Linked DNA regions of Bombyx mori. The protein of the gene in region 2 interacts with the protein of the main gene of each other region in a biochemical or structural test. Links are inferred from orthologs where the notes say so. Each region holds a gene or a part of one and is shown on either strand. Other genes may lie near its edges.

Evidence for each region.
Region 1: of the proteins of serine/threonine-protein kinase grp (region 2) and protein lethal(2)denticleless, one has a biochemical effect on the other in vitro, tested with the Homo sapiens proteins (2 studies listed by BioGRID). The link is inferred for Bombyx mori from reciprocal best matches to the Homo sapiens genes CHEK1 and DTL.

The regions. Positions count from the first base shown.
Region 1 is NC_085118.1:673,477-680,039, reverse strand, and holds the start of protein lethal(2)denticleless, read left to right. Parts: upstream 1-2,359; 5' UTR 2,360-2,506; coding exon 2,507-2,549; intron 2,550-2,631; coding exon 2,632-2,828; intron 2,829-5,693; coding exon 5,694-5,805; intron 5,806-6,197; coding exon 6,198-6,563. Other genes in the region: uncharacterized protein LOC101743785, read right to left, coding at 1-261. UniProt on the Homo sapiens protein: Substrate-specific adapter of a DCX (DDB1-CUL4-X-box) E3 ubiquitin-protein ligase complex required for cell cycle control, DNA damage response and translesion DNA synthesis.
Region 2 is NC_085118.1:17,546,113-17,552,476, reverse strand, and holds the start of serine/threonine-protein kinase grp, read left to right. Parts: upstream 1-2,130; 5' UTR 2,131-2,648; intron 2,649-2,887; 5' UTR 2,888-2,985; coding exon 2,986-3,047; intron 3,048-4,037; coding exon 4,038-4,240; intron 4,241-6,364. UniProt on the Homo sapiens protein: Serine/threonine-protein kinase which is required for checkpoint-mediated cell cycle arrest and activation of DNA repair in response to the presence of DNA damage or unreplicated DNA.

The DNA.
Region 1 (6,563 bases), about 17 Mb from region 2:
ATAAATCCAATAGGATATTTCATCCATGTTGCTCATCAAGGGCAGCACAGAAGTCTCATGTTGGTCATCATTTTGTTCAGGTTTGCGGGCACTATACTGAGGGCGACGGTGGTTTGCATCAGGAATCGTGCAGGTAAAATCCAAATGCAGATCAGTGGCTCGAACACGCTTAGCTTCCCGCGTATATTCTGTCGAAATCCTACTTTCTTGCCCCGATTTGACGCAGCCCCGTCCATATTCCTTGTGTACTTCACATTCCATACACCTAAAAAATTACTTAGCAATACATTCTAAAGTAATGCTTCGTTTTAAGATAAAAAGGTAGCGGTCTACTGACCTGTGTTTTCAATTCCCAAAAGGTAATTTCGTATTTTTTAAAATCTATAATTTTACGTACATAAACACGTAATCTTTAACCGACAAACAAGATTGTTAAAGACGAAAACTGTGCAATTTCTCCAGCCTGAACATTCAATTTTATGCGAATGTTATTTAAAACTAGTAACTATTAATAATGGTAAATAATTTGCAAATTCAACCAATCTTAAAATAATCGTTAACAATATATTTTAAGAAATCAACAAAAAGCAAACGCGTTACTACGGCGAAATTTGTCAGTTGCCATAAACAATTAGCTTCGTTTTTTTTTTCGAAATTCATCATTCAGAGATCATGGATTTAGGCAGGTAGAAGTCTCAATGTTGTGTTTCAATATTTGGTTATACTGTTTCTTTTTCATCACACACGAAAAATTATGACCGTCTAATTTTCGGCTGCAATACTTGAGTATAACCCCGACCTTTTTTTTTTTTTTTTTATTGCTTAGATGGGTGGACGAGCTCACAGCCCACCTGATGTTAAGTGGTTACTGGAGCCCATAGACATCTACAACGTAGACGCGCCACCCACCTTGAGATACAAGTTCTAAAGTCTCAGTATAGTTACAACGGCTACCCCACCCTTCAAACCGAAACGCATTACTGCTTCACGGCAGAAATAAGCAGGGCGGTGGTACCTATCCGCGCGGACTCACAAGAGGTCCTACCACCAGTAATTACGCAAATTATAATTTTGCGGGTTTAATTTTTATTACACGATGTTATTCCTTCACCGTGGAAGTCAATCGTGAACATTTGTTGAGTACATATTTCATTAGAAAAATTGGTACCCGCCTGCGGGATTCGAACACCGGTGCATCGCTTCAACACGAATGCACCGGACGTCTTATCCTTTAGGCCACGACGACGACCTCAATGCTGTTCACATTTTCTGGGAGATAGTTATCAGCAGATGGCGCTCTCAAGGCTTGTGAAATAATCAGACGTGAGCTTTCTAAATAGTCTTCAATTGTATGGATAGGTTATGATTTTATTACAGCCAAACTCAGCCGAAGAGTAAAGGTATTTAAGTAATAGTAAAGAGAAGCCAAATTAAGTAGGTACAACGATCGTAGGTATTAGGCATAGAGTTAGTATTATATAATAGTTGTAGGTACTTATTAACTCCACGGTTCTAGGTCACTTTTTAGTCATAGTATTATTAAGTATAATCTATGCCTTTAATTGCTTTTTCGCGCCTAGACTTTTTGGCGGGAACGCGAGAAGTGAAGTTGTGTGATTTGTTTTATTTTGCCTATTTAGTGTTTCTTCAGGTTTAAATGTGTAATAACGGTGGTTTATTAACTGTTTAATATCTGTGAAAGTGCACAAATGTGGGAAAATGAAACAAAGCCGCTGGACGCAATTTCGGGATCCTCCAAAAAGTCCACTGAAAAAATCTTAGTAAATGACCACCGTTTTACTAAGATTATATTTCATCCCATCATTTAATTTAATTTCATCCCAGTTGATTAATGTCTCAAATTAATAATTTTCATTTCATTTCACTCCATATTATTATCATTTTTCATAAAAATAAGAATATAAGTTAAAATAAGACATGACTTAAAGGTCTTAGTTACCAGGACATAAAATCACTTAAAAAAAAATTTCGCGCCTCTGGACTTTTTTGCGGGAACACGAGGAGTGAAGTTGTGTGATTTATTTTATTTTGTCTATTTAGTGTTTCTTCAGATTTAAATGTATAATAACACTGGTTTAACTGTTTAGTATCTGTGAAAGTGTACAAATGTGGGAAAATCAAACAAAACTGCTGAACGTAACTTCTCGGGATCCTCCAAAAAGTCCTCTGAAAATTTTTCAGTAAATGACCACCATTTTACTGAGATTATATTTTATACCATATCATCTCATCTCATCTCATTTCATTTCATATCACTTCGTAATATCATTTTTCATAAAAATAAGAATATAAATTAAAATAAGACTTGACCTAAAGGTCTTAGCTACCAGGTCATAAAATCCCTTAAAAACTAATAATAATTTCGCGCCTCTTTTATTAAATGTCAGATTTGTTGTTTTTAACGTGTTTTGTTCAAGAAGTTTGTCGAAGAATCCAGAGTTTTAAACTTTTAAATGTTTAGCTACCATTAATTTATAATGAAATCATGAATAATATACAAAATTTGATCGATCGTGAACTCGGTCTCCGTAAGTACTTGTGAATTAGTATGTAAGAGGAAAGGGCAATTGTTGTAAAGATTTGAAAAATCAATTGGAACTGTCTTTACAGATTGCCGGTTTAATTACGATACGGTACTGAAGCGGCTAGTGGTGAACAGTGAGGAATCGTTTTACGGGCTCCAATCCTCAAATGTTGTAGCAAATTTTGAACAGGATCCTCCGATATTCGCTTGTAGATTTGCTGAAACATCTGGCTATGAACACATACTGGCTCTTGCTAACGAAGATGGAAAGGTTGCTATTCAGGTAACATACATATCTTTGTCCTTCAGATATAGGCAGTTCACAACCAGGAATATGAACAAAGCACTGTATGGTGAATGAAATAATATCATTTAGAGAAAAAGTAATCTTTTGACTTTTGTAACATTGGTCACTTGTATTAGAGGGTTCTATTGCACTGTACTGGATTTGATATTTCAAAGAAAATTTAGAAAGGGTTTATGTTATAGCACAAAAGTTTTTTAGAATCATAATGATAATGGATATTGCCAAGGTTCTTTGCCTCATTTTTGTTTTCGAATTCATTACTATATTATTTTTTTGTTGACTGATGTAACTTAATGTTTATTTAAACCATAACTGAAAGTTAATATGAATTTTATTGGCTTTAGGTGGGTATATGTTGTTTTTTTAAATAATATAATAATAAAATTGTTACTTTTATACCATAATTAGCCAAGTCTCACAAGATTAGGTAGCTTATTGTGGGTCATCACGGGATCAAAAAACCAAGAAGTACTTCTAATGTATGCAGTACTTTTACTCTATTTATTAGTTTGTGAAAATCGAATATGTAATATTTAAGATTTTCTTAGAATTTGTTGATGGGAAACTAGAAGCAACAAAGACTCCCTTTAGTGGTATCTTGATTACGTAAAACAGGAACTAAGTGATTCACGTGCTCACAACTAGATCTCATCAATACATTTTTTTATTACCCTTGTAGGCAGACGACATATAGCCCATTACTCGTAAGGTGAATGGTTACTGTCGCCCCAGGGAGGTCGAGCGCAGAGCTTCCCTGCCGCCCTCGGACGCGTTACCCCCCATTACCACTTCCGAGGTTAAGGAGGCGATCGATAGCCTACAACCACGGAAAGCTCCCGGCTCCGACGGCATCCGCAACTGCGCGCTTAAATTGTTACCAGCCCAACTGATAACGATGTTGGCCACCATATTAAATGCTGCTATGACGAACTGCATCTTTCCCGCGGCGTGGAAAGAAGCGGACGTTATCGGCATACACAAGCCGGGCAAACCGAAGAACGAAACCGCGAGTTACCGCCCCATCAGTCTCCTCCCGGCGATAGGCAAACTATACGAACGGCTCCTTCGTAAACGCCTCTGGGACTTCGTATCCGCGAATAAAATTCTTATAGACGAGCAGTTTGGATTCCGCGCCAGACACTCGTGCGTCCATCAAGTGCACCGCCTCACGGAGCACATCTTACTAGGGCTGAACAGGCGGAAACCCATTCCGACAGGAGCCCTCTTCTTCGATATAGCGAAGGCGTTCGACAAAGTCTGGCACAACGGTTTGATATACAAACTGTATAACATGGGAGTGCCAGACAGACTCGTGCTCATCATACGAGACTACTTGTCGAAGCGTTCGTTCCGATATCGAGTCGAGGGAACGCGTTCCCGGCCCCGTCATGTCACAGCCGGAGTCCCGCAAGGCTCCGCCCTCTCCCCGTTACTATTCAGTTTGTATATCAATGATATACCCCGGTCTCCGGAGACCCATCTGGCGCTCTTCGCCGATGACACCGCCATCTACTACTCGTGTAGGAAGAAGGCGTTGCTTCATCGACGACTTCAGACCGCAGCTACCACCATGGGACAGTGGTTCCGGAAGTGGCGCATCGACATCAACCCCACGAAAAGCACAGCGGTGCTCTTCAAAAGGGGTCGCCCTCCGAACACCACGCTGAGCATCCCTCTCCCGACTAGGCGCGTCAACACCCCCGCCCCCGCCGTTCGCCCAATCACGATGTTCGACCAGCCCATACCGTGGGCCCCGAAGGTCAAATACTTAGGCGTCACCCTCGACAGTAGGATGACATTCCGCCCCCACATTAAGACGGTACGCGACCGTGCCGCCTTCATTCTAGGACGTCTCTACCCGATGATATGTAGGCGAAGTAAAATGTCCCTTAGAAATAAGGTGACACTCTACAAAACTTGCATACGCCCCGTCATGACCTATGCAAGTGTAGTGTTCGCTCACGCGGCCCGCATACACTTAAAATCCTTTCAAATCATTCAATCCCGTTTTTGCAGAATAGCCGTCGGAGCCCCGTGGTTCGTCAGGAACGTCGACCTCCATGACGACCTGGACTTAGAGTCCATCAGTAAGTATCTACAGTCGGCGTCCATGCGCCACTTCGATAAAGCGGCACGACACGAGAACCCTCTCATCGTGGCCGCCGGTAACTACATTCCCGATCCTGCGGACAGAATGGAAAGCAGTCGACGTCGCCCAAAACACGTCATCTCGGATCCTCCCGATCCACTAACGGTGCTTTTAGGTACTTCAAGCACCGGTCACCGTTCTCGTCGAACCCGTCGCTTGCGACGAAGGGCTCGACGAGTAAATTAACTCTCAGACACAGCCCACTGAGTTTCTCGCCGGATCTTCTCAGTGGGTCGCGTTTCCGATCCGGTGGTAGATTCTGCGAAGCACGACTCTTGCTAGGGTTCGTGTTAGCAACATCGTCAGGTTTGAGCCCCGTGAGCTCACCTACTAAAGTTAGGGTTACGCTGACATAGCCGCTAGGGCTATCAGCTTAGGTAGGAAAAAAACAAAGGTTACTGTCGCCCATGGACATCAGCAATACCAGGGGCAGAACTAAGCTGCTGTCTACTATTAATTGAATGTATTATATATAGTATAAATAGTACTTTTAGTCAAGAAAATAGTGGGTATTATGTAGCAGTTTAAGGCAATTTAGTTCAGGCTCGATTGGAATAATATAAAAGGTAATTTTCATTTGTTTTGCTTGTGGTCAGAGAAGAGGCTAATTGGTTTAAAATGGAATTTGGTTATGATATCATAATTATAATATATTATATTTTATTTTATTTATACTTTCTACAATTTTCCAGGACACATCCACGCAAAAGACAGCAAGTAGATTGGAAGCATTCCAATGTCACAATAATGCTGTATTTGACCTTGCTTGGATGCCCAAAAACATGAATTTTATAACTGTTTCAGGTAAATTAAACATAATTAAAATTTCATGTGTTATTTTGTACTTGTGAATTATGCTACTTAAAGCCAGGCAGCTGCAATGGACTTCAGCAATGCCAGGGACAGAGCCAAGCTGCTGCATTGATTTTATTGAATTATTAAATGTTCAGAGCAAAGGGACTTCTAATTCAAATCAGGGTGACCTCTCCGAATACACATATTACGTCACATAACTATTAAAATAAACTTTGGAAGGCTATTTAACATCTTAACCCACATGTGGAAATACAGTAGAGTTGTTTGACAGGGGACTAATCGATAATCAATATCATTAGCTGGTCTGATCTGGTTTATCTACACCTAATTTTAGTGTATTGAAAACTTTTGAAACATTAATTATAAAATAAACATTCCAGGAGACCACACGGCTTGTCTGTGGGATGCAGCAGAAGGTTCACCTAAAAGAGTTCTCGTGTTCTCGAGCCACACGAAGTCTGTTAAAATTGCCGTATTTCGGCCCATGGAGCCGTCGGTGTTCGCCACCGGCGCGAGAGACGGCCACATCCTCATTTGGGACATCCGCGCCTGCAACCAACCCACGCTGGTTTTAAAGCCAGACAACTGCCTCATGAACTGCCACTCTAACTTCGCGCCGAAGACTCCCTCCTCGCACGGCAAGCGACCCCGCATCGACGGCCACCGCGCCGTCAGCATCACCGGGCTCGTGTTCCAGGACGACGACACGCTGCTGTCCTGCGGCGAGTGCGACGGGAACATCAAGG
Region 2 (6,364 bases):
TCGGAAAACACCGTGGAAGGGAGTTCATTCCAAAGCCGGATGGTACGTGGCAAAAAAGATCTTTGGAAACGCACTGTCGATGAACGCAGCGGTTCCAGATAATATGGATGAACTCTGCTCCGATGGCGGGAGGTGCGATGATAAAAAGGAGATAAGGGAATCATCTCGAATAATTCCTCAGAGCATTCCCCATGGACCATGCGGTATAAAACACAGAGAGAACCGAAGTCCCTCCGTAGACCCAGAGGTTCCAAGCGATCCGCGAGAGTAGGACTATCGACCATCCGAACAGCCCGTTTCTGTATGGAGTCAAATGGAAGTAGCTGGTATTTGGGAGCCCCGGCCCAGAGGTGAGAGCAGTACTCCACGCGAGGTCGGACCTGCGCCTTATAAAGCGCAAGTCTCTGTCCAGGCGTGAAATACCGCTTCGCTCTGTTGAGAACTCCCAACATTTTAGAGGCCAATTTGGCTTTACCTTCCAAATGACTCCGAAACTGGACATCGCTCGAAATATCGACCCCCAGAATCCCGATACTCGCGGAAAGCTGCAGGGATACTCCTTGAAATTCCGGCGCCATGACAAAAGGGTCCTTCTTCGCAGTGAACGCGCAAACCTGTGTCTTCAATGGGTTGAACTGAACTGAATTCAGTTCACCCCACTTGGAGACCCGCCCCAGAGAGTTCTCCACTTCAGACACAAGTTTTAATCGCCTCTCGTGTACAACGCTTCGAGAGAGACTCTGATGGCCGATATATCGCGCATCCCCCGTGCTATCATCCGCATAGCAATGAATGCCATCAATAGATAGCATGTCATTGATATGCAGTATGAAAAGCGTGGGAGAGAGAGATTCCAAACGATCCGTGAGAACAGGATTATCGACAATCCGGCCCTCCTGTTCTGTGAAATTTCACTTCAATACATTCCAGCACACTTCATTCTGTTTGAAACTGCTTTAAAAACATTTCCACTTCCTACTCTAGCGCTATGCCGGCGTTTCTTCCAACAATAATTTGCTGTTTACAGGTAGACATTTTTCAACTTGTCCCGTATACAAGATGGTGCTCCTTACTCCTTATCTCTACCATTTATAGGAAAAACAGTAGCAAGGCACTTTTGTAATTTTTCAGTCGTTCAAAAACATTACAAATTCAGATTAAGTTTGTATACTTCCAAAGACTAAATCTTTCGCAGCAGTGGCGAAATTAACCTGTTAAAGTAATATGTAGTGTAGTTTATAATAAGATTGTTCTATTAAAACTTTATAGATTTACAGTTCTGTAATTACACAGAAAGGACCTAAGAAATAAAAGTTAAGTAAAATCTAAAGTCAGCTGTGGAGCCGTTAGTCGCACTCAAAGTAAAACTTTAACTTTAAATTATAGCACTTACATAAGAATTTGTGGATATTTCACGATTTGTAACATCATTACTAACAAAATTACATGGAAATACTCGTAAATTAAATTATGGAAGTATTATTATTCCAACACTTGAATATACGATAAAAAAAGGAAAAATATTTTGATCTAGCTCTTGGCTATCAGGGCTTGGCTATCTACGTACCAGCTGTATATCGATAAAGCCAAGAAGTTACTATTCATAGCCATAACATTACCTATTAGACATGTGGCTAATTATCAATACACCAATAATTCTTTAAAACACGGTTTCTCGATTTTAATGATATATATATATACTAAACTTATAAATTTTAACAATATATTTGACGAAAGGTAACACAAATTTGAAATAGCGCGTTTATGCTAACTGTCAAGCTTTCGTTGAAAGTTGGCCACCATTCTTAATATGTTTATGATCTGTGGAAATATATAACTGAAACTGAAAGATATAGGGGGACTTTTTGGCGGGAACGCGAAGTTTATTTTGTCCATTTAGTGTTTCTTCAGGTTTAAATGTGTAAGAACGGTGGTTTATTAACGGTTTGGTATCTGTGAAAGTCCACAAATGTGGGAAAATGAAACAAAGCCGTTGGATAACTTCTCTGGATCCTCCACAAAGTCCACTGAAAAAATCTCAGTAAACGACCACCATTTTACTGAGATTAAATTTCATCCCATTTCATTTAATTTCATCCCAGTTGATTAATGTCTCAAATTCTTCATTTCATTTCACCCCATTCATTTCACTTCATCTCATTTCAATTCATTTCACTTCATGTCATGCCATGTTTCATATTAATCAGTTTAATTTCATTTCATAATATCATATTTCATAAAAAAATATATTACAAAAGATTAGGCTGTATGGTGTGATACCTTTTTACCTTTCTATTTGGAAAAATAAAACTACTACTACTAAAATAATGACGTTTGACAGTTTTGTTTCAGAACGAACGCCTCGTCAGCCAATATTAGCCATTATTCCGTTCGCGGCAGCCATCATTGATCTTGTTGAACAGAAAAATGGCGAAAGTCAGAATTGCCGCCGTCGTCACATGTATGCCGGTTAAATTGCAAAAAACTGATGTCAGTTACTTAATGTTTACTCGTACTATTCCATAAGTTTAAGGATCAGGCGATCATAAAATAGCTGCACACGTTTAATAGCAGTTCCCAGCGTAGCATTCGATGTCAGCGGTTCCTAGAAAAAGATGGCTAAATTCGATTCATCGATCACAGATGAGGTTAGTATTGTTCAATTTTATTTTTAACACTTGTCGTTCAGCCAAAATATTACATGCCATGGTAGCACGACGCAATTTGCCGGTGACCAAGTATTGTATCGGCGTAATCAATTTGCTTTGTTCGGCACATCCACGTGCCTTCCGCCATTTGGCAGTTTTATCGTTGAATTTACATAAAATGTAACACATTTGACAGATTAAATAATCGCTTTAAACGTAAATTTCTTCGTATTAAACAGTAACACGTGTGGAAAATACAAAAATACCGAATGAGAAGAGTTGGTGGCGTGGTCGAGAGAACTGTTTCCTTGTTCCGGCAACGCGGTGCTCCCAACCAATGACCGAGTTCGTCGAAGGCTGGGTTGTCGCGCAGGTGCTTGGTGAAGGCGCCTATGGAGAGTGAGTTCTCATCTATCCGCTATCTAGATGCCGGATTCATCTTAACCACTCACGATCACGACAGCTCAGTATCAGCTGATTTGAGTATATACAGTATAAGACCAGAACCAGAAAAGTATTACTTATATATAAGGGTGTATGTGCAATAAATAACAAAATAATTTAAACAATCCTGATTTAAATTCACTACAAAATACTTAGCAATTAACAATATTTTTTATAGTCACTGTTGCTGCATTTGGTGGTGCTGATGTTCTTTATTGTGTTATTCATTTACTGAATCCCAGTCACCACAAGATTAATGTTTGGTGAGACATTGTTGTCTGAAGACCTTAGTCAGTCTCGTAAACTACAATCTTTGATAGAAACTGATAAATTATAATATTGTCAGGAGGATATTACTTTTCCCACTGTAATGGAAAAACAAGCTAAGTACCTGGAGATTGAGAAGAAACTAAAAAAAAATTCAAAAAATGAAAATGAAAAACTGATCACTTCATTAAAAAAAGAAAATTGAAATTGAGCCTAAAATTATTAATACTTTGATATGTAACACTTATATATATTTAGTTTGATAGAAAATCATGTAGCCCATTGGATGCTAAAATCCAACTTTAGGCCACAAACTTAAAATGACTTCTAGGGCATACCTTACCTTATTATATAAGCTCAAAGTCCATGTCGAATCTAATGTATCCTTCACAGTAAGATCTCATTCTTGCAGTAATACACAGTGCAGTAGTGTTCTATTACCTCCAGTATTTTATTGCTTTCAATAGCAAGTGTGCTTAGCTTAAAGATGCAGTGTAGACCATGAGCATTGGTTATCATAGGCTACATCTTCACAGGATCAGGATATCATTCACCCAGATCAACAATATTATTGGCACAACTAAGTACCTACTGAAGAGGTGGTAGTGAAGTTATATGGATTTGATAAATAAGTTGGACTCCAATGAGTAGTTGAATAATGAACAAAGGACGGGTTAGGGTTCGGCTGCTGGTGCACGGCGCGTCGGGCGCGGCGGTGGCGGTGAAGGCGGCCCAGGGCTCGGGCGGCGCGCGGGAGGCAGCCCTGCAGCGCGCGCTGCGGCACCCCCACGTGCTGCGCTGCTTGGGCGAGCGCACGCATCTGCAACATCACTACGTGTTCCTAGAGTACGCGCAGGGCGGCGAGCTCTTCGACAGAATCGGTGAGTGCCTCTCCCCCCCCCCCCGACCCCCTTCGCCTCAGCCGGCTCGGCAGAACGTGACCGCGTTTTTTGCTCTACACAGGCCGTTGACGCGTTCGATCAGCTTATTGTGCATTTTTTGCGACCTGTTTCTTTTAACTCAAAGATTGATCAAAATTATAATTTACTAGATGCCAGTCTATTTGTTTGAATAAATTAAAACTGAGTAAAAATGTACTTTAGCAAATGTCACTTTCATGTGACTTTTTATGAAATACAAATAAAAGAAAGTATGACTATCTATTGCAGTTGTTTTTATTATCACATTCTATAATCATTATATATTTTGTTAATGTTTACATATCGACGCTTGAAAGGCAAACGTGACTAAGCGACAATGCGTGAACTTTACAGTAGACTAATTTAAAGTTGAAATACCTGAAAAAAATTATATTTTAACGAATCTAGCTGTAGGATTGAAATTATTTTAATAGCCCTAGAAATATATATTTATTGGGCATCGAATATGGTTATTGCCTATCATTTATGTACAAAGCAGTTATTGTCGCTTAGTCAAGTTTGCCTTTCAAACGTCGATATTATTTTAAGCTTTTGTAGTTTCCTACATTATAAATACTTTTACCCATCAAAATATGCATGTAAATAAAAATGAGAATGTTCACATTATGTTTGTGCTCTGTATTCCTAAGAGATTCATTTGATTATGACGAAACCCCAGTAAGGGGTGTTACAGTACCACCAAGGCCTGAAAGGTATGCGGGTAGTTTAAAAAGTTTTATTTTTGATATGATTAGCGAGTCACAGCAGTTGGGACCGGGTGCCACTAACTTGAAATATTGGTATCTCAACAATATGTAGAAAACCCATTTTTAAAAATAAAAACAATTGTAATTTAAATTTTACAACATGTCGAATTTAACTGAATAACAATATGAATAATAATATATGTAGATATGAATATGAGTATTGTATTGGATTGGTAGGCTCCCTCACCTCTACTAGCATAATATAACAATCCATTGGATAAGTTAAATGCTGTCGCTTTTGTAAGTTCAAGAGAGCACATGATAATATTTGATATGAGCATTCTCTAAAATAGATTAAAAATTTTTGATAGAGAATGATACGACATAAGCTGCAAAAAAAAAAACAACAAATGTACGTAATGGACACAGTGTCTATAAGAGTAAGTACCACAAAATGATTTAAGTGATCGCAGTTGAAAATTTTGATGTAAAGAGGGCATATTAGTCGTTACAATACATCTGAATAGTTAGAGACCATAAAGCAGTTTGAACCCATTGGAATGAGTCTCCATATAAAGAAAATTGCCTTGAAGATTGCCCACGCAAGCTTAATGAAGAGACCAAATGAATTGTGTACTTGTTTGACATTTTCCATTGAAATGTATTAAAATCGAACCTTTTTGATTGATCACTGGTAATGTAAACTGGATTACCTACCACAAACACATGGCAGACACATGCCACTCGACAAATAGAGCGCTTGCACTTTCACCAGCTTCAGATTTTCACCAGCTTCTATGCGTTCGGCATTCTTTCGGTAGTCTTAGCATAACATCACGAGAGGACTGAAAACCAACAATTCTTAACTAATGGGATTATATGGGATACTCTACCTACAAAGTGGCACATATATATTAAAATATTTAAAATGCAAGTAGACCCCCCGGTCTATAGAGCTGTTTCAGATTTGTGTCAATTCTTTTCGGTCTGGTTTTTGCTGATAGACAAACTTTAATTCTGTACTGCACATATTTCGCTTTCGTCCTACACAACTACGATACAAAAATACCCAGAATTTGTAAATAAACACACACAAAATATCTTTTTGACCTATGATATATATATTTATATTTTTCATAATGACAAATCAGTAATTGTCTCGAAATTCTACCATAAGTGAACATGTATAATATAAAATAACAGAAACAGAAGAAATTGTATTCCTTGGGTTTTGAAGAAAGCTTCGATTTTCTTTATTGTTGAAGTTATACTTCTTCAGGCGCGTTATGAAAAATTGATGAGAGTGAAATTTTACGATGCACGCGCACCGTGACACAAAATTAACAGAATGAAGTTGCCCACTAAATCGCTCATTACA